Neurospora crassa OR74A: one gene and its partners. The protein of the gene in region 2 interacts with the protein of the main gene of each other region in a biochemical or structural test. Links are inferred from orthologs where the notes say so. Each region holds a gene or a part of one and is shown on either strand. Other genes may lie near its edges.

Region 1 (4,790 bases), on a different chromosome or scaffold from region 2:
TGGAACTAGGCATTGTTGCTGGAGTGACCAAGATCTATTTCTTGGCTATTACGAACTTCAAGATCGGGTCGAGAACACTGTTGCGTTTGACTTGGAAATATTTGCTGACTACATAGCAGGAGACATCACGACACATCTATCACCTCGAAAGAGCGAAACCATTGATTCTCGACCATTCTTTGAAGGGTACAGCGGGTGAAAGTCATCCCGTGCGTAGCTCCGGATGGTGACTTGCTCATGCAGACAAGATAAACCGCCGCTTACCGCTCCTTCTCACAATGACTGTTCGGCATGAGACGGGAACCTCAAGCCAGACCTGTTCCGGGCTCAACAGAGGATCAGACGGCTACAAAGGCCGGGAAGCAACCGGAGCCACCCGACAATTCGATTGGAGGACCCGCTGGGCTTGTGTCAGTCCTTCTCACGGCGCCTCACCAAAGTATGAGGCCCATTCCCGTTTACGGCTGCAGTCACAGCACACTACTGTAACGAACCGCGTCATCCCGAAAGACGATCCAGTCTACCGGGAACCGATTACCGTGTCTACATGATGGAGCTGTACGACATGGACCACAACAGCACAGCTCGTTGACGATAAGGGTGGTTTTCGTCCCGCCTTCGAAGAAATCGTACGACCAGAACCGCAGGAGAGAGTTGATGCTGTATGAGGCTAATGGCAAACGGCATAAAGTTGATGACCATATGTAACTTGCCATAGCCATGTCTGCAAGCGGGCAATGACGGCTCAAGTGAACAGTCGGGAAGTCGAAACAACAAACACAACACATTTCACGGTAGGATCCCGATGGGATCCCGATGGTGATGGGCTCTAGTCGGGTACGAAAACCACGGGAAAATCAAGGAACCAAAGGATGTATTCAGCCGTTGCAGTTGTTGAGCGGAACCTCAAACCTGACTGCCGTGAGAAGAACGGATGTGGGGCAGTAATCGCCGGCTAGGAGCAACGTCTATCGGACCGTTGAAAGTTGATGTAGCATGTGAACGACGCAGCAGGGGAGACAATGATCATGGGGAGCTCAGGATGGCACACTCTGGCTCGCGCTTGGAGCCGTCGAGAATCATCACCCGACTGGGGTCGGTTTTGCTCGAGTACTTGGGCGCTTAGGCTCATAAGTAACATTGGTACCAGTGAAGCTGCGAAAGCCCTGCGTTGGCTTATGGGTTAGAGACTCCAAAGAGTGGATCGAGTAACTTTTAGACACTCGTGGCTTCTTTCCATTTTACACTTTGGTAACAATCACTTTGTTTCACCCATGTCGTCCACTTAACAGGACCCAACAGATGTTGTCCTATGGTCATACTTCAACTGCTAACACGAAGCATAGCACAACTACGAAGTATGAACTTGTAATTTAAAGGCTGGGAGGCACACATGTATGTGAGGTACACACGCTAGTGACCAACAACACTACTGAGGTTTCGGCCGCCTTGAGGTTGTTGTTCTTTCTCTTCTCGTTTTCGGGGCAACACAACGTGGGCTTGCTCGCTGAGGATCAAAGGCCATGCGGAGTACCGAGGTCTTGAAGACACTGTCGAGCCAGACATGGACGCTGGTCAAGTTGAAAAGGCCGAGAGGTACAAGTTAGAAGAGATCAAGCATGTGCAAATTGACCTGGAATGTATGTACAATCTTCGTGGAAGTTTTGTTATCGATAGTAAATGTAACCTGGAAACTACACTGAGTGGAAGTCTGGAGGGCCGAGGTCTGGTGTAGGTGGTTAGATACTGGAAATTACACGCTTCTTGATGGCAATTATGGGTAATGACGGTATCAGGTACAGCCCCGCTTGTATCAATTAAGCCCCCTGCCTGAAGCAAGGGGTTTAGCGCGACTCGCGTGTCGTCGACGCGTTTTCCACTTAAAATCGTATCGTTTCGTTTTGTCACTTTTCCATGGCGGCTCCGCAAGGTGAAGCGCATGCGCCAAAACAAAACATCGGCGACTCTTTCATTCTTCTCCAGCAATCTTTTTGGACGACAAGAACGGAGGCCACAACGACTAGCCTTACTCCGCGTCCGAACCCGTGTTACCTTTGTTTCCCGTCTGTGACACTGGCTTGAAGAGTTGTTCTTTGGATTAATACCTTCAAGATGGATTACAACGCCCTCCGCGACGAGGCCGTACGCGACCGTGTGCGCCAGGCCCAGGAGTTCCTCGATCCTCGTACGTCGAAGCTTGAAGCTGATGCTGGCCCTTTGTTCACGACCGAAGCATGGAACGAAACTAATGGCGAACCTTATCTACAGATGACCAGCACCAGCGAAGCTACAGACCAGACATTGTGTTGATGCTCCAGAAGAACCAGAGGAGACTCGTCGTCAATATCGATCATGTCCGCGATCACAGCTCTGAGGTAGCCGAGGGTCTACTTACCGATCCCTTCAACTGGACCCTCGCCTTCAACCATGCGCTCAAGACTATCGTCAGCACCGTCCCCCAGGCCCGCCCCGATCAAATAGACCCCGACGTCTTATACTATTGTGCCTGGGCTGGCAGCTTTGGTCTACACACCTGCAACCCCAGGACACTGTCCTCCCAACACCTCAACAATATGGTCTCGATCGAGGGCATCGTAACAAGGACGTCCCTGATCCGCCCCAAGGTTGTCAAGAGTGTACACTACAGCGAAGCCAAGAAGACATTCCACTACCGCGAGTACCGCGACCAGACCATGACGAACGGCATTGTCACCAACAGCGTCTACCCGCGCGAAGACGAGGAGGGCAACCCGCTCGAGACCGAATACGGCTTTTCGACCTACCGCGATCACCAGACCATTTCCATCCAGGAAATGCCGGAGAGGGCACCTGCTGGTCAGCTGCCCCGAGGCGTCGATGTGATTCTCGACGATGACCTGGTAGACCGCGTCAAGCCTGGCGACCGTATCCAGCTCGTCGGTATTTTCCGGACGTTGGGTAACAGAAACACAAACCACAATAGCGCCCTGTTCAAGACGGTCATTCTGGCCAACAACATCGTCCTGCTGTCCTCCAAGTCGGGTGGTGGTGTGGCTACAGCTACCATTACCGACACCGATATTCGCAATATCAACAAGATTTCCAAGAAGCCAAAAGTTTTCGAGTTGCTTTCACAGTCACTGGCTCCCAGTATCTACGGACATGACTACATCAAGAAGGCTATCCTGCTTATGCTGCTGGGCGGCATGGAGAAGAACCTGGAGAACGGTACACATTTGAGAGGTGACATCAACATCCTGATGGTCGGTGATCCTTCCACCGCCAAGTCGCAGCTCCTTCGTTTCGTCCTCAACACTGCTCCATTGGCTATTGCCACGACTGGTCGTGGTTCTTCCGGTGTTGGTTTGACTGCTGCTGTCACATCCGATAAGGAGACTGGCGAGCGTCGTCTGGAGGCTGGTGCCATGGTTATGGCTGACCGTGGCGTCGTCTGTATTGATGAGTTCGACAAGATGTCAGACATCGATCGTGTTGCCATCCACGAAGTCATGGAACAGCAAACTGTTACCATTGCCAAGGCCGGTATTCACACCTCCCTTAACGCCCGTTGCAGTGTTATCGCCGCGGCCAACCCTATCTTTGGACAGTACGACACCCACAAGGATCCTCACAAGAACATCGCCTTGCCCGACTCCCTCCTGTCGCGTTTCGATCTTCTCTTCGTAGTCACCGACGACATCGAGGACACCCGTGACCGACAGGTATCCGAGCACGTCCTTCGCATGCACCGCTACCGCCAACCCGGCACCGAGGAGGGTGCTCCTGTGCGCGAGAACGCCGGTCAGGCCCTCAACGTCGCCCTCAACGGGCAATCCGAGTCCCAAAAGCCCACCGAGATGTGGGAGAAGTACGACGCCATGCTGCATGCCGGAATCAAGGTGCCCAGCGGCCGCGGGTCTGCCAACAAGAAGCCCGAGATCCTCAGTATCCCCTTCATGAAGAAGTATATTCAATACGCCAAAACGCGCATCAAGCCGGTACTGACGCAGGAGGCTTCCGACCGCATTGCTGACATCTACGTGGGCCTGCGCAACGACGACATGGAGGGCAACCAGCGCAAGACGTCGCCCATGACGGTCCGTACGCTCGAGACGCTCATCCGTCTGGCCACCGCCCACGCCAAGGCACGCCTGTCCAACCGCGTCGAGGAGCGTGACGCCGCCGCTGCCGAGTCCATCCTCCGCTTTGCCCTTTTCAAGGAGGTGGTCCAGGACGAGTCGCGCAAGAAGCGCAGAAAGACCCGACCCGCCGAGGGCGAGGATGGCATGTCCTCCGACTCTGACGACTCTGATGACGATGACGACGACGTGGCAACTCAAACCACCACAGCCCGCTCCAGCGCTGCCAGAGCTTCTCGCGCTTCCCGCGCTTCCCAACGCGCCAGCCGACGCACTCCCGCCAATGGCGCTTCCTCCTCCTCCGCAGCAAACGCCAACGGCACTCCCAGAGAGGAAGAAGAAACCCAAGGAGCAGAAGAAGAGGAAGAAGACATCTACGACGCCACCCCGCGCCGCTCAACAAGATCTGCTCGCACAACCGGCGACTCACAACCATCCTTCGCCTCTTCCCTTCCCGCCTCGCAACTTCGCTCCACTCGCTCCCAACGATCATCTCGTCGCACCGCTCAGAACCAAGACGACGAAGAAGAACTCGCCTCCGGAGCCGCCAACCTCAACGTCGACGAAGACGAAGACGAAGAAATGGACGTTGACGGCGAAGCCGCCCCAGAAAACCAAGAAGAGGAAGAGGAGGAAGAAGAGGAAGAAGAAGATGAGGAGCCAGCACCAATA
Region 2 (4,780 bases):
CTGTTGACTGAACATGTGGTTGAAGATAGTGGCGTTCTTCGGCTCAGTCCCTCATCTGCCTAACATTAATATTGATGCGCTTGTTCTTCATCCAGCCCCTCCAAGCCTCATACTTTCCATCTTCGGCGGGCCAATCCTCCAGCCACTCGGGACAGGTGCCCTTGAAGATTTTGGGTACACCATGCCAGGCAAACCTGGACTCCTTAGTCATGTAAATGATATCGCCAGACCGTAGCCTTAGCAGCAAGAACTTCTTGTCGCTCTTGCCACTTTCATTTTCTGCGGATCCCTTTTGCTTTTCGTCTTCCGACACCTTGCCCCAGTCCTCGGGACAAATCATGAAGAGCGAATCACAGCCTATACTCAAGCTGACCAGGCCTTTGTCGGTCTCTTCTGACACATCGCGGTGCATCATCATGGTATCGCCGGGGGTGTAGAAATTGACAATGGCCGCTTGGGCCTGAGTCTCGGGAAACAGGGTCTCCAAAAGGCCGGCAATGTCTTTGGGAAACTCGGGGGGCAGCTCGCCCGGGTAAACGCGATTCGTCCAGTCATACTGTCCACCTAGGGTGACCCAGTGTAGCTTGCGGTTGAAGACTTGTTGAAAAGTGAGAGGCTTGTGTACAGAAGGGTCCTTTGGCTCAAAACACGTCTCGGAATCTGGAGGGTAGGAGAAGAAGGATTCCTGAAGGCCTGTTTCGGGATCCACGGGCGGGTAGGGGAGCTTGAAATGGAGATGCATGTTGGTCTGGTGATGGGGTTGGTTGAGATCGCGGTGAATGATGTTGCGCAGTAGCGTCTTTTGGACCTCGGGGGGAATGAGGTTTGGGAGAATCAAGAGACCTTTTGGGGTTGGTCAGCAATGATTCGTGAGGAAGAGGGGTCCAGGATCTTGAGTTCACCAGGCAAGAGAGGATGGTAATAGATGGGGGCGTCCTTGTCTGTGCGGAACTCTGGTGAGTCTTCGGGGCAGATATAGCTGAAGGACCTGTTCAAAGTCTCGGTAGGAATGGAGCCAGCGAGCACAAACTCGGGGGCTTTTTCGGGACTGCGCAAGTCATCGATCTCGGGGCTGTTCATGACGATTTTCTGGTCGACTTTGGCGAACGACTTCCACTTGAGCCGCAGCTCATCCGACGGCTGCTCGTGCGCATCCAGGTCATGGTGTCCACCCATCATCTTGAAAGTCGGGTAGTTCTTTTGAGCGAGATATCCAAAAAGAGAACAGAAAAGTGACCGAAGAAATGGATATGAGTATACAAGTTGACTCCTTCCGAGTCCTCGTGTGACGTTGCGGATTTGGAGTAGGGAAGTATCGTGAGATGAAATTGTGGGGACTCGAGTGAAGCTTCAGACGGGACGGATGGTCGAGATGGATTGATGTGTGGGCGTCGAGCTGAGGCTGGGCTGGGCGTCTGAATGGCTGGAGCTTCTGAATGGCGCCACAAGTCAGGGGTAGTCAACAGTTAGAGATCGTGGCTACCTAGAAGGTACCTACGTATTCTGCCCCATCTTGGTGGGCTGTCGGGTACAGTCAATGCTCCAAGTAGTAGTACTTACTAGAACTAGGTAGAGGTGGTACATATGTACCTAGATTGCTTGAAAGTTTACCTACCTACCTTGAACTCGGAGTACCTACCGACGAGGAAAGCGGGCATTTTTTGGACGCGTTCATTCCTCCCTTGCAGTCCGTCCCTCCAGTGAGTGGTTTCCATGGTGCCGTCGCGGTCCGCGCTTTTTGTGTTGACACGGATTTCCGTTGCAAGCGCCAAGTCTAAGACGTAATCGTCCCGTCTCCAACCACCTGCACTCGGATGCCCGTCTGGAATAAAACCTACCTACTGCACTACAGTACAGCGGACCACCCCCCTGGACTGCCCTCTAAATCCGACACTCGAACGACAACCACAACTTCACAACCTCAACTTCCACTTGCACGTCCACCGCCTCTCCTTCCTTGGATTTCTGTCCCTTCACCATCACGGTCCCTTAGTATCAAGAAGTTGCAGGAACAACGGACGACAATTACATCGCTCGCTGCATCATATTGCCTTTTCATCAGCGGCCTTTCGCATTCAGCCCTCCGCCCAGGACGACCCGTCGACCATTCACGGCACCATCATCACCACCAAAAGTCAACACCAAAACAAAGTATTTACGGTAGCTAGTACTGTAGCCTTTTGACGGCAACGACGGACGATTCCACCTTTTTTCGTTTTTGTTTACCAATCCGCCACTGCGCTCCCTTTGGACACCACCTATCCTTGGCTGGACCTTGACTCTCCAAGGATCAATCAATCTCAAGAAGGCGACCCTTCGACGGCCGTCACTTTCTCCATCCGCCGCCGCCGCCGCCGCCGCCCCACGCTTCGTTCTGGGCTTTTCCATCAATCACTGTGCTTCAGCGCGCTAGGTACAACATCGTTCGTCGTAATCGTCCCCCACCACGACGACCACGAACACCAGGCACCAACCCCAACTAGTAGTTCTACGACTCCGGGCAAAGTCAATTCTTTCCCTCCAGGGACTTTCAAACCACCCATCTCAGTATAGCGGCCTGGACGGGTAACAGAGCAACCATGGAGAACTATCAGAAGCTGGAAAAGATTGGCGAGGGTACAACACCCCCTTCTTCTTCGACCCCTCCACCTTGGCTCTCTTCCTTCCATGTCCCGTACTGACATTCCACCTTCCGCATAGGAACGTATGGTGTCGTCTACAAGGCCCGCGACTTGGCTAACAGCGGGCGCATTGTCGCCCTCAAGAAGATCCGCCTCGAAGCCGAAGATGAGGGCGTCCCCTCTACCGCCATCCGTGAGATCTCGCTGCTCAAGGAGATGCGCGACCCCAACATTGTGCGTCTCCTCAACATTGTCCACGCCGACGGCGGTCAAGGCCATAAGCTGTATCTTGTCTTCGAATTCCTCGATCTTGATCTGAAGAAGTACATGGAGGCCCTTCCTGTCAGCGACGGTGGTAGGGGCAAGGCCCTCCCCGAAGGAACGGGCGCCGGACTGCACAATTTGGGACTGGGCGAGGATATCATCAAGAAGTTCATGAGCCAGCTTTGCGAGGGCGTCCGATACTGCCACAGCCACCGTGTCCTACACCGCGATCTCAAGCCCCAGAACCTGCTCATCGACCGCGACGGCAACTTGAAGCTAGCAGATTTCGGTCTCGCCCGCGCCTTTGGTGTTCCACTCCGTACTTATACCCACGAGGTCGTCACATTGTGGTACCGTGCGCCCGAAATCCTGCTGGGTGGTCGTCAGTACTCGACCGGTGTCGATATGTGGTCCGTTGGTTGCATCTTTGCCGAAATGTGCACACGCAAGCCCTTGTTCCCTGGTGATTCGGAAATTGACGAGATCTTCAAGATCTTCCGGTACGTTTATGCAGTTACCTTTTCTTGGCACCTTTCTGCTTCTCCCCTAGTCCGCTATACTGACCTCTTTTCCTCCAAACAGTCTGCTTGGAACCCCTACTGAGGACATCTGGCCCGGCGTCACCTCCTATCCCGACTTCAAGGCATCTTTCCCCAAGTGGGTACGCGACTACAACGTACCACTTTGCCAAAACCTCGACGATGTCGGTCTTGAGCTACTTGAATCCATGCTTGTCTACGACCCTGCTGGCCGAATCTCTGCCAAGGCAGCGTGCAATCACCCTTACTTTGAAGACTACAACCCCAAGCCAAAGAGCAAATACCGCGACAGCAGCAGATACGCCTAGGGACGTTCGCCAAGGTCGAAGCAGGAGCGTTAGGCAATAGCAGATCGACTATCCAAGTTTTGCAGCCGGCTGCTTAGGTTCGGTTGGATCTCGGTGACTTCAAAGTGGGCAGTTCGTGGCAAGGGTACAGTCTTTGTGATTCTACCAGTAGCGAGTGAGGTCGACACACCGAAACGGTGACAGAAACAAACTGTCATTATCACACCTGAAGCATATCATAGCATCCCACTTTGCTTTCAGGATACTCGGAAACATGATATTCGACACATCAAATTCCCCATACCTACATTTTGTTGTATGTAGGGTTGTGTTTTTAGGGAACAGCGTTCAAAGGGGTCATGGGTAAAGGAAGTACATTGGAATGGAGTTCTGTATTACACGATTCGGTGTTATCTGGAAGAGCAAATGGCATTCAAGGGATGGGGCTTTCTGTTAGCCCTGGTGCATATTAGGGAGTTGTGGTGTGAAGTGTACTGTACACAGGCAGGGAAAAGGCGCAAGACATTGTTCCAATAAATCTCGCATGTACATACTTTCCCCTGTCCAAACACAGGTCCTTCGTTTGGAGATGCGAAGTGATGTCGGCTGTTCCTTCATCTTTGATGTGCTCCATTTCTTTCTCCCTGCTCGGATTTATGTTGCCATTGATCGATTTCTCATGTTGCCTTCTTGGCTGTCTTTCTTTCCGACAAGCGCTCACACCACCGCATTACATGTCCCCCAACATTGTAGGCATTCGCTTTTATCAGACTGAGCAAATGGTACCTCAGCACATGGGACTGCAGACATCGTCATGCTGACAGCGCTAATGAAGAATGCTTTCAGAAAAGCCTAGCTCACTCAAGCCTGTACCAAGCGGTTGGCTCCCAACATTTCAGCTATCAAAAGAGCATCACGTCAGTGGATTGGGAACCACTCAACAAGACAGATCAGGCGTCATAGGGAGGCTATATACCTGCAATACACTCACTGAAGCTCTTCCTAGTCCCAGTATCTCAACCGTGGTGTTGCGTGGTGTGGCGTCCAGACACTCCATCGGGGCCGTACC
Region 3 (4,761 bases), on a different chromosome or scaffold from region 2:
CTTGTTGCGAAGAGTAGTCATGGACCCTTGGACTTCGGACTGGAAGTTGGAGTAGGTCTGGCGAAGAACGGCGAGGTCGCGACGAAGGGATTGGATCTCGGTGAGCTGGCTTGGGCTGAGCTTCTTGGATGAGGAACCGGCAAGGGCAGCAGCACCAGCGACAGAGGAAGACGAAGAGCGTGGCGAAGCCGTCGAGTCCATACCACTTGGTGCGATGATAGTGGGAGGCGGCGTGGCGGCAATGCGAGCGAGATCCTTGGCGGTCTCCTGTTGGCGCTCCGACACACGTTGAATGGCGGCGTTTTGATCGTCGACATTTTGTTTAACCTGCTGGATGATGGTCTTGATGGACCCGATACTCTTGTCAATATGCTTCTTGACTTCATCCAAAACCTCGACATTCAACACAAGCACTGTACGGTCCTTAATATCGGACAGATCCTCAAGCTCATGGCGGACACCGGAGACGGGATCTTGAATGTAAATTTCCGGTAGATCAGCTCCATTCTGCTGCGTGTTCCACGAGAACTTCTCAATAAAGGCCAGCTGAAGACGAGCCATAGACAGATGCTCGTAGCCCTCAGGGAGCACGAACTTCTTGACCTTGGACTTGTACTGCAGGAAGAGGGTCAGTTCCTTGGTTGCGGGGGGTGAATTCTCGAGCATAAACGAGCTGGGCGGTTGTTTATCGGGAGTCGAGGCGCGAATGGACGGCTTGTGTTGATGCTGAGGAGCGGCAGGCGCAGGAGCAGGCCTCGTAGCAGCGGGCTTAGACGAGTCTACCTCATCCACCATCGGGATAGGATCTGCGAGCGGGCCATTAAGGGTAGCGCTTGGAGTAGGATACTTGTCATCTGGCGCCTGGACATTCAAGTTGTCGGCCTTGCTAAATGTATAAGAATCGGCCGTTTCAGGCTCTTCAGGAACCCGGCTGGGAACTCGAACGGGAGAGGAATCGAGGCCAATGGTACGTTGGGACTGGTTCGAAACATTGCGGCTGTGGCGGGGGGTTTCCCTTACGTGCATCGCCCGCAGCGACTCTCTTCTAGCCTCGCGGTTGCCCCTATCGGGTATCGGCGTTGTCTGGGGTGGGACCATAGCGCCGAGATACTTGGAAATCTGGTATGCCTCATATCTGCGGGAAGCTCGTCTTTCCAGATTACCTCCTCTTTGGAGAGCCGCCAAGGCGCTCTGTCCCGATCCCTTGGGCGGCGGCGGCGGCGGAGGGAAGTTGTCCACGTTGATTTCGGGTGGTGCCGGTGGGCCGGTTGGAATTGTCTCTTCACCTGGGTAAGGCGCCATAACGGGTATGTTTTGCATCGTGTTGCTCGACAGGCTGGACTGGTCAGAGGTGACAGAGCCGCGAGATTGGTCCCGTTGCGAGGGAAGACGTCTGGTGGGTGATGCCGTTGTAGGACCAGAGTTCCGAGAATCATCCCTGAAAGAGTCCGGTCGGTAGCCATTGCTCTCCAGCCCTTCGTTCAGCATGTTGGTGAGCCCAGAATTAACACTAGCCATGGTACTAGTGCTCGTAGTTCTGGTGGGCACGCCACTGCTACTGGGCCCAGGTCCGCGACTTGGACCATAGCCTCCATCGTCTCCCGCGATACTCGGCTCTCTATCCCGCTGCTGGCGATGCCTTAGCTTTTGCTGTTTTCTTTTTAAACCATGCAGCAGATTTATGATAATATCACGTATCTTTGGCAGGTATTTCTCGAGACTTTCAGCGCTGGCTTCTTGACTTAGAGTGGCCTCCAGGATGGTGCGCAGCATCTCGGGTACGTTGCCCAAGTCGTCAATATCGACATTGATGGCAGTAAAGGCTCGGCAGGCCATATTAAACTCGTAGCCCAGCCGTACGTAGACGTCGGAGACCTGGGTATCGGTTGCGTTTCCACGGGACCATTGTGTCAGGGTTTCGAGCAGTTGCTTGGTGGCCACAAGTAGATGTGTGACGCTCCTTTCGATTTGCGATAGTGGGACGGACGACGAGCCGCCAGATGACTGTTGTCAGATGCCCTGGTTAGCAGCGAACTGGCAAACGGCAGAGGAGGATTGGAACAGAGGAGAGGAGAGGCATCATGACGCGCGCATGTAGATGGAAAGACTCGAGAGAAAGGGGGACTGCAAAACAGGCCGATGGTAACAACAGTAAAGGAAGCCAAGGCGGGAAGATGATTACTCACATTGTTTCGCCTTGTGCTCCCACCGCCGGCGGGGCCGCCGCCGGGACCTTGAACTGAGCGACTTGAGCCAGCTGAAGACCTCGACATGCCAGCTTGGGGACCCATCTGTCCTCCCATCCCAACGGCGGGCGATATTGAGCGGGCCGGCATGTTGGAGGGCGGGCCACCACCACCACCACCACCACCACCGGGTTCGGTGCCCGGGGCGGGGGGGCGTCGCTGCATGGGGCGGCCGGGACCCGGGACATTCATCATGTGCTGCGCTGCCTTGCTGTCTGATGGATGTGATAGAGCTTGTGATGTTCAGGGCAAATGGTCGTGTCGCAAAAAGGAGATCACGTCAGGCGGGATGGCTTGTGTTGTCGGGTCGGCACCTCTAGCAGATGTTGGGCAGAGATGGGAGATTCGACGGCGCGTAGATGGCGGGAGCTACGTCTAGACCGGGCCGGGGGCGTTTGGCGACAGGGTCTTGGTCGCTTCAAATAAAGAGATAGTGAATCGGTTTGACGGGATGACAAGAGCCCTTCAAGATGCTGGCGACGACTGATGTTGCTGGCCGTCTCAATCAGGGCGGCGCATCAGGATATGGTGGCGGACAGTAGTAGGTGTCTTGTCTAGAAACAAGCTTTTGAGAAATGCGCGAGGTTGTGTTTGTTGATGATGGACAAATACTATGGAACTGCGTTGAGGACGGATGTCCCGTCGTTGCTGACAAGTCGGGGACTAGGTATAATTGCAGTGGATTGGAACTTGTATCGCCAAATGGAAGCCAAAGTGGAGGCGCAGGCCATGGCAACGGCTCCAGTTGGGCTGCCAGCCGCTGTGGTGGGCTCCTGACCTCGCTTCCCTTCAGTTGTTTTGCATTTCGCCATCACTGTTGGTTCAAGCAGATTGTACTAATACGTTAGCTTGTAATTTCCAGGCTGTTACTGTTAGTGATGGCTGGGCGCGGTAACAGCACATGATACCCGCTTAGCTCAGAGGAGCGCCTGAAGGTGAGCACATGGCAAGAAGAGGGCAGGGGATCCTGAGGGGTAGCCGTGCCCTTCCCTGGACAGGGGTAAGAGCGGCCGATAACAGGGGGTGCGCTACAAAATATCCATTCTCATTGTTGGTAAACACTGTCCAAGCCAGCCATGGCTGTGATTAACCTGTAGCCCATGTGATCGGGCCGTCTCACGCGACTCAACACGACCCTGGGGCTCTTGTCCCCCACAGCCCTGCTGAACAAACAACTCCCCGTGTTTCAATGTTTCATCCAAACCGCCAAAGACAAGGATCATCACCATCACCGCCAGATCTCCGCATCTTGGACCAAGGATGTTGACAATAGCCGTCATTCTGCTACACCACCATCTCGTCAAATGCCTTTTATTTGTGGCACATCATTGACGTCGCACCTCATCCATTGCCATCCATGTAAAACACAGTACAAGCAGCAAAGTCAGGGAACGTTGAGAGGCCACACCGACAAACACACCATGAACATATAGAAGGCGGCAACCTACCTACTGTCCACCACCTCAGTATTGAGTCCGGTCCTCTGTTCCTTCCCCGGATGTCCTCATTACCAAGATCTCACCGAATCCTCTTGAAGTTGGTGGTCCTGGGGGGAAGGGAAGGCGCAAGGCACCGACCGGGCAGAGAAATTGGTCCAAATCCAGACAGCCTCGAAATTGAAAGTGTCCAAGTGTCCTTCAGCTTGAGTTTGGGCTTACGTTTTCTTCCCTGCAGTGTCCGTAACAACAACACAGATGAACTCAGTTCCGTCTCCAACTCGTATCTTGGAGGTTCAATGCCATCCGACTTCACGCGGCCTTCGACTACCGATATTCATGAACCCTACACGGGCGCGGAGCTGGAGGTGAACTCGTCAGCGCAGTCCATGTCAAGCTTCCAGTCGGCAACAACAAAACAAGGCACAAGAGGATCGCCGACATCAATTGCTGAAGGATTTCAACTGGAGTGTCGCATCTCGAACGTTGTGTACAACCCTGTATTGAACAACACGGTCTGCTGGACATACCGTCGTCTATCGGCCAGGTTGCCTCCCATCCTTCCACCATGAGCAAACGCAGATTATACCAGGCAAATTTGCAAGCTTTGACACCCATGTTATTCAAACCTCAGCCATTCGAAAAGGAACCATCATCCCTTACTACCTGGGCACATCAAAGGGCTCCATGATGCGTCGAATCTCCCTCGCCATAGTCCGCCGAGTCTCCCGCGGTTTCCGAGGTCTGTGTGGCACCCGCACAAGAATATTGCCCTCCTGTCTCTCTTCTATCTGGAACATTTCGAGTCGGGCATCTCTCCCGTGCTCATCCGATTTTCCAGCAGACGAGCTGCTTCTGTCGAGGCCATGTCAGTCATCATCAGCGAGACTTGTCATGAAGGATATCAGTCTTACTGCTTGCTGTTGGGCATTGTGAGCGAAATGTCAACAATGTTCTGAATGTTGAGTTGAGGTAAAGGGGACCGACCTCCCCGTGTTGAGCGCTGACAACTCAGGCAGCGTGGCTTTTATCTGTTTGTCAAGGCAGCTGCTTTCTACATCGAATCCGGAAGACCCTGG
Region 4 (4,684 bases), on a different chromosome or scaffold from region 2:
CATTGTAGTGGCGCTTGTCTGCCGCTATGGCGTGTCGGTAGGCCGTGAGGGCTTTGTCGTATTCCTCGTTTTCTACATGCTCGTGTCCTTGTAGGGTGTAGGCGTACGCAAACTTGGGATCCAGTTGCGTCGCTCGCTTGAAACACCTCAGGGCTTGCTCATGATCATATGCCAACGACCATGCGTTTCCAAGGGCACACCATGCTTCTGGTGAATCCCATACTGAGTCGATCATCTCATGGGCAAGGAATGAGAGCTCCGTCTCTTTCTTCAAATGCCACAGAACAGTCGAGTAGACCTCCATGTCCTCAAGGCGAGTCGGAGCAATAACGCGAAGTCGCTTGAAGTATTTCTCTGCCTCGGCATAGTTGGCCTGTTCATATTGAGTCCTTCCCATCTGTGCCAAAACCCAGGGTGTGTCCTGGTGACTCCTCGGAAGTGACATGTACGCCGCCACTGCCTCCTGGCATTGGAACTGGGATGAAAGCGCATAACCGGATGCCAACTTCTTCAACAAATCAAATATTGTTTTCAAAGCTTCTTCAACCGCCTTGACAAACTCAGACTCCGCTGGTTTAGGGGCGGGGGGTGGAGGTGGTGCCGCCTGCAGCACCGGCGGCTCCTTGGTGCGTGGTACTGCCTCGGCGTGGTCAATGTCCATACCAATATCCTCCTGTGGCGGCTTCCGGCTGCCACTGATAACTCGACCAACGTTTGCTCCACTAGAGCCCGGCCGAGCAAATCGAGATATTGGGGGCCTAGCCTTCCTCAGCTCACGGGTTGCTCCCGCGCTCGTTGTTTTCGTTGCCGTTGGTCTTGGAACTACATTAAGTCTTGCACTTCGCCTAGGTTCCTCATTGTTCATCGATCTTGTTTGGACTGGATGCCCTGCTGCCGTGCGTTTTCTTTCAGTAATTGAGCTGGAAACCGTTGATGTTTTGGTACCTGATTCCGCATGGTCTTTCGCTGATTCTTGAGCTTTATCTTTTCTTCTTGTTCCCAGACGGTGTCCCGTTCTGGGTGGTGCATCAGTTACAGTAGAGTCTGTTGCCTGGGCCGCCCGAGTTCTCCGAGGTGGCGCTTGCGGCGGCTCTGCCTGGTGTACAGCACGAGTGACCTGAGGATTATGGGCGGTTGGAGCAGGCGCAGATTGCGTATCGGTTTCCTCAAGCGGTTTCCCTGGCTGACTTGATGTAATGCCTGACTGAGAAAGATACATCTTGGATATAAAGCCATTTTCCGAGTCTGGATATGACGCCGATTCCTGGGATGTCCCATATGGCCCGAATGGATCGCTTGGCTGTCTGTTTTGTTGCTGGCCGGTCTTCTTTAGCTGCAAGGGCTCTGGTGGTTGCGGAGAAGGACCTGCAATCCAAGCAAGAATCGGCGTAGCGTTGAGGCCATGCTCGAGGGTTTGCGCAAGACCATCGCTCGCTCTGAAAACATTCGGCACTCTGACGCTCACTCCCATGTCGTATAGGTTTGTGAAAGCCTCCCACATGAACGGATTTCGTCGTAGGGCCTCTTCAAAACATGGTATGGCCTTTTTCTTATCGTCATATGCTCGGTAAAGTCTGCCCAGGAGACAGCTAAAGGCAGCCGCATCGGGATATGGCATCCTGGTAAAAGAGGTATGTTTCCCCAAGTTGTCCGCCTTGGACCATTGTTTCCTCCCATTCTCCAAGCCCGTGATTCCGTCTCTGTATCGCTCCAACTCCAAGCACGCCTGAGCGAAGACGTAGCAGGACCCTAAATGCGAACCTCTATATCCCGAGCCCCGACTGACATGGTAGGCGGTTCGAGCGTCGCCGAGTCGCAGATGGGTGTAGGCGAGGAGATAGGCGGAATCGCAAAAGGATTGGTCGTGGGCATAGAGTCGCTCGGCAAAGAAAAGTGCGCTCTCGTAGGCACAATTGTCGAGATGGTAGTAGATGGCCTGCCTTAGCAAAAGGGAGACGGTAACATTATTTGGCGTCATCTTCCCCGCCATGGCCAAACCACCAAACCCGCGGTCGAAGTGGTGTATGAGTTATGCTACCGGCAAAACGGATCCATGGGATTACCGAATAAAAGATGGTGACCTGAGGGTGAAGCGCCTCGTTCAGAAAACCGAATGTCGGAGGGTGGGCAGGAGTAGCAAATTCGCAAGGCTCACTTCGAGCGAAAGGGTTATCGAGGGGCGAGGCCTAAGTCGTTCTTCGTAATCGTGAAACTCGTAAATGGACGGAGCGATCTTCGTTGTCGGAATCAGTCTGCGCCTGCACGGTCAAAGCAAAAGCCGGGTGCAAGGGGGAGATGGGCTGCGCTCAATGAAGGGCGCGCGCGAACAATGGACGATGCAGCTGCTGTATTAAAAGAGTATCGACAAAAAAAAAATCCGAGTTTGCTGAAAGCGTCGCAAAGGGTAGAATTGAGACTTTAATGGCGGAGTGATGGAATGTTGAAGGTGCCGCTTTCAAGATGCAAGATGGTCTGTGACGTCGGAGAACAAACAAAAAAAGAAGAGTTGAAGATGTAGTATGATGCACCCGGCAAGCAGGTCGTCACCGACAGGGAAGGGTCCAAGGGTCAGCTTCTCCAACAACGACAACAGCAACCTGGGTACTATGTCTAACACGACATGACTTTCCACTCTCCCAAACACTTCAGTTTGTGTTGCAACTAGACCGAGCACCTCGTGACGGAGGGATTGAGATGGCGGCGGCAGCAAGGGCTGCTTTGGTCGCGCGGCAGCGTTGAAGTCGCGATACAGATGGTGAATTCGGAAAGGCGAAGGTCACGGCAACCACACTCTTCCCTTGATTTGCTTGTTGCGGCTGCAGCGCTGGCTGGCTGTCAGTCTCGTTCGCGACTCCAGGGTGAGACTTTGGTTGGGTTGGGTTGAATGTTGTGGTTAGGTGCGGTAGCTGCGCGACGCTGCCTTCCGAACCAAACAGTGGTGGGGAAAGCTTGCCGGGCAACACAGTGACAACTGACCCGACCCCCGGTCTCATCGATCTTCACACCTCAGTTCTGCAACTGCAAACTGCCCGACAGCTGCCGAGACCGGCTCATCCCCATCGTAAGTGCAGTGTACAACTTCAGTGTAGTAACCCAGGCTCCCAGGTAGAGGTAGTCCAAAGCCACATGGCGCCCTGGTGCCTGCAGCGCCGTCAATCGATCTGATTTAGCGCAAGCAATGCCGAGTCACCATTCCCAGCCACAGTTGATCTCCAAGTGGCTGGCGAAGATCCATTTGACATCAACACCATGGACCTCTTTAAGCTGCCGTTTCCCTCCATATCATCCATGCATCTCGCTCATCCTTTGCAATGCCAAGATTCGGGTCTACCTTCATCATGCAACAACTACTATGACAAAGAAATTCTCACTGTAGGGTTATCGGCGACGGTCCTGAGTGACGCGTGGAATTTCATCCTTGCTCCTGCCCTCTACTGACTGTAGTGAGTAGTGTAGATTGATTTCATGATGGGCAATGTGCAGGAACTATAGGGCAGGTGTGCTTCTGGCTCATCAGTCGGTCCTTCCGGGGACAAGTGAGGGTGGGGAAGTTACTGCCGCTTGCGGATGGACCGCTTCAGGTCGGTGTTGACTTCAATCTTTCTCATATCAAGAATCTCCGCCGCACTCTGGCGGCTGGGTACACTGTGTCTCAATCTAAATCGTTTCAAGTTCACATGCACCAAGGATGCCTTCGAACGAAGTCTTGGACTATCCTCGTTTCTTATATTCATGCTCCTCTTCACCCTTTCTCTTGGTACCCACGCTCCCGACCATCACCTGGCCGACCTCATGATGTATCCCAGACATCAACAGTGACTCTGCGGCCATTCCCGCGCAACATACTACTAATCATCTGTCATCTCGGTGTTGTATATTTACCACTCGCTCAATTGTCTCGTCCCCGACTCTTGATGACCATTTGGGCTCACCCCCAAATTTCATCATCAATTGCAAATTGTCCATCCGGCGGTGGGCGTTGCTCACCGAATCCCGAAATTGTGGCAACTCATTCGAGTTATGTCTAGCGAACAGAAGATTGATCCGTCTTTTGGTGTTGTACCGGCGTTAGGCACTGCACGCCCTGCACCGTTACACGGGCATTGTAACAGGAGTCAAGATTTTCGTAAAGGTATTGAACCTTTCACTCACCATTGCTTCCCTTGCTACACTGCGAGAGGTGAAAGTTGAAGCATGTAAAACTACCTAGTCTCGCTACTTTATTTGAGAGCGAGGGAAATGGTCAAGAAAGTACTTTGACGATGGTGCAACAACTCACTCGCTTCATCGTGAAGTTAGGAGTGGAGTAAGTCGTGATGGGAATTGCTCTCGAGAGTCGAGACTACTGTATTGCTTAGTCAGCAATACATTGTCGCCATGATGCCAAGACGCAGCTTCCGTTCAAAGCTGGCTTCTTCTCTCAACCCTGAACAGCCAAGCAGGGGACTCCATCAATCCTCCTTCACAACACTCAACATTGAAGACAGCGAGTGCATTCAGTTTGCCGGCATATCTCAAAATCACGTCAATTTCATCAAAAATAAGCACCCATAAAACCTGACCAATGGCTCAAAAAGCGCGCAAGGACCGGGCCAAGTCCAACGAGACGACCCTCAAGAACCTCCACATTGGTTCCCTCACCGTCAACGGCATCTTCCTGCTCTCTCACTTCCTCTTCCGGTCG
Region 5 (4,721 bases), on a different chromosome or scaffold from region 2:
CTTGTCCACCTTCACGTGCCAGAGTCTCATGGATCCGAACGAGTGGCCGACGGCTCTCCATTCGCAATCCCACCATCCCTTGACGATAGCATGTTCCGCAGGGGTCAGGGTCTTGCGTCTGAGTTGACCTACAGACGGATCACTTAAGCTATTGAGCACGAATTCACAGCATTTCAACAAGTGTTGCATGTGACTCCACGGATTATTGGAGTCTTTGGCGTTGGTGATATGGTTTACGGCGCCAGTGAAGGCCTCCAGGAACTGGCTGAAGTACTCCTCAAGCATCTTATTCACGGCCTCAGATGGCGTCATCTCACCTGTGATGGCTTTGATCAACTCGAAGCCAGCTTCGCGAATGGCTTCCTCACCGTGTATTAGAGTCGCCACGATGGGCTGGATGGTGTTACTCTGCGGATCCGAGCAGAAACTGTCAAGATCAGCCGGGTTGAAGTCAGACAGGCGGCCTAACATTTTGCCAATTGCCGCCGTTTGCTGTTGAAAGCGTCTGTTGAATTTTGCATGCTCGTTCTTGAGCTGGTCTTTCCGCTTAGGGATAAACCGTTCGATACTCCTGAGAGGCATCGTAGCTCTCAACATGGCCTTGGCGAGATCTGTTTGTCCGTTCCAGACGAGCTCGAGGAATGACTCCCACAATGCGCCAGAGTCCCTGTTTACGGCATCTTGAACAGGCTTTTCCTTAACGAAAGCGTCCCACTCCATCAACGTCGCCTTCGCGTCCAATGCCAGGGCAGACTGTATGATAGCTATAGCAGCCTGTGAGAGGCCAACGTTGTACTTGTCCGCGGCCTTGAGCCTGGTCGCGTCAATGATGACTTCCTTGTACTGAATCACTCTGTTGAGTAACTGGTTGACCATAATAAGAGACGTTCCTGTATCAAAGGATGGAAGGCTGAGGTAGCCGTCCAAGCATTCTCTCAAGGTCACCAGACCAGCAAGGATGCAAGTGGCCTTCGCTTCTGGGGCTGCGCCTGCGTCGACCCGGAGAGTTTCGAACAGATGCCGAAGAAGAGTCTCGCAAACGTCTGACCGCCGCGCTGAGGGAAGGGAACGGATAAAGGCCCTGACCCATTCTGCCAACGCTGGTATTAGTTGACCGTTGTTTTCCTGGTCCTCGACCATCATGTCCGGCTCAAGAGACTGGTTTAAAAAGGGCCGAAAAGCCGGGCTCTTGAAGATTTCCTCCACAATCATACTCGGAGTGACTTGGTCATAGGCGTCCCAGAAAGCCTTTGACGAACGCTCCATTAGCGTACGAAGTGCTTTCAGTATCATGCTCAAAGCAGGGACGTTATTGGTGCCGAGGTTTTCGAGAGCAAGGAAGTAGACATTCGGTTGTACTTCCATACCGCGGAGGTTTTCCAAAATACTCTTTTCGCTCATAGCTCGCAAAATGAGGAGGAATCCGCTCCAAAAGCGACACAGCCGCGCCGGGGGCTGTATCCCCCTATGGCCGAGTATATGGGACTTGAGGCCGCTTCTGACAGCCCATTCCCACTCCTCATCGGTGAGGCTTTCCGGCAGCATCCGTTGCCATTGTGCCTCTGCAAACGCCCTGTGCACCGGATACTCTTCGAAAAGGAAGTATGTCATGGTCGGAATTGCGCCTCCCACCATCTTCAGCGGCTTCTTAGGCTGGACATGTTCGAATACGTAATTGAATATCTCTAGGTTTGCTTTGTTGGTGTTCAAGTATGCCATGCAGCAGAGCGATTCGAACAAGGCGAGACACGGCCAAAGTTCGATTCTAACGAGCTTCGTAGTCGGCATGGGACCGTCCCTCTCAAGGATGAATTTGGCTCTCTTGAGGCCGCGCGTGATGCGCTCTTCATCGAAGGCTTCGAGGTTTTTCTGTAGATTCCGCAAGAGCTCGGCGTTGTCTCGGGAAGTGTATCTGTAAATCGGATTAGCTGGGGTCACCAGGCCTACGGTGGACCAAGTAGGTTTTTGCGAATACGCACTGATCAATGGCTCTGATGAATTGCTGGCGTGTCCTATGCCATGTCCTGGCACATTGGTCACATTTTGTGAGAAAGAAGTTGACACGCTCTTTCCACTCGTTGATCCATTTACCAGCCTCTGGCATCACCAACAGAAGCGAAAGGCCGTAGGTAATTCTACGTCTCTCGAACCCGTCAGCGATTCGCTTTTGCTTTTCTGCCACCGTTGTTCCGTTCGCATCGGGGAGGTCTGGCAACGCGTAGTCCGTATCGTCATCGTCGCTGAGCAAAGGGCAAATTGGATGTGCGTCTGGAGGAAACTCTTCAAAGGCTTGATGCATCTCCATCATAGCCATCTGAACGTCCGCGGTCCCCAGCTCTGGGTATTCCATTTTGTCTGACATCTCGGCGGTCGATTCAAGAACGTGATGGCTTCTGGTGGTTGTCTAGGCTGACGGAGCTTGGAGGGCGAAGTGGGTTGCGCTTCGATGGTCGCAAGAAGCAACCTTCAGCGCAAAGCAGACGGAATGGTTTAGAGAAGCCTTTGCATCGACAAGAAGCTTTCGAGGTGAGCGACAGATATGCTAGAGGAACAACTTGTGCGGCAAAAGAATGACAAGAATAGTTGAAGCAAGATGCTCCAGGCAACCGAGGACGAGCAGTGATGCTTTGTCGGAGGGCAAAGGCCGAGATGGCGATGGATGTGCGGGTATCGCTTGCACCCACAGACAAAGGGTTGGAGGAAAATTGTATACCAATAGGACAGAAGAGAAATCCGCGCTCGTGGGGTTTTATGTTCCAGGCCAGTGAAGGAGTCTGACTCCGTTCTTCTTTCACCAAGCAATCGGTGAAGGTTCTCCTGTTGTATGTTGGAGTTGACGGTGCGGCTGTCAGACGGGAGCTTCCTCTGACATGCCAGAGCCAGCGTCCACAGTGCCTGGGAAAGGAAGAGGAATGGACGCTGTAACGAAACCTAGGTTCTGTTGTTGCGCGTCAATCCAGAAGGAACCGCGTCAGACCTAAAGTGCGTGGGGCCGCTAAAAGTTGCAGGGGGGGCAGAGGGGCGCGGCAGGCAGGTCCGATGGTCAGAAACAGGCAGCTGCTCAGCAGCTGTTGCCAGTAGCCAGATGGAGAGCTCCTACATACTTGTATATCATGGTACGGATTCGCCCAACTCCCCATCTCTTCCATGAATCACCAATCTTCGAACATTGAGGTCAAAAGGCCTAGGGAGCTTTCATCCGTCACAACAGTATCAAGAGGGTCTCAAGTTATGGCGGGCCAAAGAGTCAGACTGGAAATTATTGCTTTTGGAAAGAAACCAACTACTTCCAAATCGACTCTTTCCGGCGTTCCCTGTCTATCCATCTCCATGGTCTCCTCCCTTCCCCCGGTCCAGCAGGTGTTCCAACGGGCATTCGGGTGCCTCCCTCCACTCCTTCGTACCAGGCCTTGTCGCCTTCCGGCACTTGAAGCATTGTTGTCCATGGCGGATAAACAGCTGGTGCAAGCCATACTTGAGGTGATCCGGCACTTTCACGTCGCAGTGTCTGAAGCAGTCCTCAGCATTCGCTTTCTCCGGCACCCAACCGAGCCAGCGACAGAACCGGTGGACATGCGTGTCAACTGCAAAGCAGGGCATGCGAAGACAAAAGAGTGTAACGCAGGCAGCACTTTTGATGCCAATACCGGGATACTGGACAAGCTTGGCCATGGCCTCGTCTTTGGTGACGGTGTGCATGTGGTCTAGGTTCAACGTCTCTGAGAAGGCGACTTCTCGCTTACCGCCCGTTCCCTTGTTCTCCATTGCCATCTGCGCCATCTCCAACGCAACCATGTCGAGGATTAGCTTGATATGCTTGGCCTTCTGGTTTCCGTTCCCCGAAACCTTGATAGCCTGGGCCAGCTTTTCCTCTGGCTCGCTGGCAACCTTTTCCCAGTTGATGCTTCCGATGCCTGAGCCGTGTTCTCGTAAACCGTACTCTTGAGCTACGTTCCTGATCGCTCGGTCCGCCATGGCCATCAGTGTGTTGCCGCTAATCAGCGTCCGGAGGAGGGCGTCCAATACGCAAGGTACCTCGCCACATCCGGCCTTCTCCAAAGATGCCTTGGGTATTTCCTTGGGTTGCTCTACCTTGCCATGCATGGTTGCCAAGACGCGGTACACATCCTCGCATGCTTCAGAGGTAGGAGCCTGACGATTGGGGTAGGGTGAGAACCCTGGCGTGAACCCCATGGGATTATTTGGGCCCCTTCTCACTGGCATTCTGTAGTCAGGGCTGTCACGGTCCACGGTGGCTATTCTTGTGGCGGTGACCTTGGCTGCCTTCTTGCTGGTCTTGACAATAATATGTCCATTGCCGCTATCGAGGTTTTTGTCGGTTTCTGTATTTGGCCTCTTGGAAGACGACCTGGTACCCCGTCGATCCCGTTCAGTGTGTTCCTCGTCTTTGTCGTCGTCGTCGTCGTCGTCGTCGTCGTCGTCGTCGTCGTTGGGGGTGTTCACCTCAATAGTGTTATCCAGAGAAGTGCCCATGATGTTCTCTACAGCTTCTGTCGCAGCTGCATCTTTCGTCCGATCCTTGATGATGGCGGACTGAACCTTGGTCCGGCGTTCGGTCACACCTCGGGTATGATGTACCGAGATATCATCAGGTCTAGTCACTTGTAGGGGCCCTATACTGATCGGCGTCTTCTGCGCCTTCACATCCTCGGTCCGAATCTTTGTAGTTTCGAGCGAAGTTTGACTCTGGCGTTTGGCCA

What was found. The genes of interacting proteins can lie anywhere in the genome.
Region 1: of the proteins of cdc28 (region 2) and NCU08009, one has a biochemical effect on the other in vitro, tested with the Saccharomyces cerevisiae proteins (3 studies listed by BioGRID). The link is inferred for Neurospora crassa OR74A from reciprocal best matches to the Saccharomyces cerevisiae genes CDC28 and MCM3.
Region 3: of the proteins of cdc28 (region 2) and bud6, one has a biochemical effect on the other in vitro, tested with the Saccharomyces cerevisiae proteins (2 studies listed by BioGRID). The link is inferred for Neurospora crassa OR74A from reciprocal best matches to the Saccharomyces cerevisiae genes CDC28 and BUD6.
Region 4: of the proteins of cdc28 (region 2) and NCU00213, one has a biochemical effect on the other in vitro, tested with the Saccharomyces cerevisiae proteins (4 studies listed by BioGRID). The link is inferred for Neurospora crassa OR74A from reciprocal best matches to the Saccharomyces cerevisiae genes CDC28 and CDC27.
Region 5: of the proteins of cdc28 (region 2) and NCU02036, one has a biochemical effect on the other in vitro, tested with the Saccharomyces cerevisiae proteins (2 studies listed by BioGRID). The link is inferred for Neurospora crassa OR74A from reciprocal best matches to the Saccharomyces cerevisiae genes CDC28 and SEN1.

Annotation. Positions count from the first base shown.
Region 1 is NC_026504.1:3,901,797-3,906,586, reverse strand, and holds the start of NCU08009 (DNA replication licensing factor mcm3), read left to right. Parts: upstream 1-1,882; 5' UTR 1,883-2,112; coding exon 2,113-2,185; intron 2,186-2,268; coding exon 2,269-4,790. Other genes in the region: NCU16827 (hypothetical protein), read right to left, coding at 471-788. UniProt on the Saccharomyces cerevisiae protein: Acts as a component of the MCM2-7 complex (MCM complex) which is the putative replicative helicase essential for 'once per cell cycle' DNA replication initiation and elongation in eukaryotic cells.
Region 2 is NC_026506.1:1,088,623-1,093,402, reverse strand, and holds cdc28 (cell division control protein 2), read left to right. Parts: upstream 1-1,862; 5' UTR 1,863-2,579; coding exon 2,580-2,616; intron 2,617-2,700; coding exon 2,701-3,385; intron 3,386-3,467; coding exon 3,468-3,732; 3' UTR 3,733-4,318; downstream 4,319-4,780. Other genes in the region: NCU09779 (oxidoreductase), read right to left, coding at 44-843, 903-1,179. UniProt on the Saccharomyces cerevisiae protein: Cyclin-dependent kinase that acts as a master regulator of the mitotic and meiotic cell cycles. Required to drive the G1-S transition. More than 200 substrates have been identified. Substrate specificity is in part regulated by the bound cyclin protein.
Region 3 is NC_026502.1:3,557,543-3,562,303, forward strand, and holds the start of bud6 (actin-interacting protein), read right to left. Parts: upstream 2,909-4,761; 5' UTR 2,442-2,908; coding exon 2,187-2,441; intron 2,005-2,186; coding exon 1-2,004.
Region 4 is NC_026503.1:3,027,439-3,032,122, forward strand, and holds the start of NCU00213 (nuclear protein bimA), read right to left. Parts: upstream 2,909-4,684; 5' UTR 1,991-2,908; coding exon 1-1,990. Other genes in the region: NCU00214 (hypothetical protein), read left to right, coding at 4,565-4,684. UniProt on the Saccharomyces cerevisiae protein: Component of the anaphase promoting complex/cyclosome (APC/C), a cell cycle-regulated E3 ubiquitin-protein ligase complex that controls progression through mitosis and the G1 phase of the cell cycle.
Region 5 is NC_026501.1:1,604,789-1,609,509, forward strand, and holds the start of NCU02036 (tRNA-splicing endonuclease), read right to left. Parts: upstream 2,909-4,721; 5' UTR 2,363-2,908; coding exon 1,980-2,362; intron 1,913-1,979; coding exon 1-1,912. Other genes in the region: NCU02035 (helix-hairpin-helix domain-containing protein), read right to left, coding at 3,319-4,721. UniProt on the Saccharomyces cerevisiae protein: ATP-dependent 5'->3' DNA/RNA helicase required for the expression and maturation of diverse classes of non-protein-coding RNAs like precursor tRNAs, rRNAs and small nuclear (snRNA) and nucleolar (snoRNA) RNAs.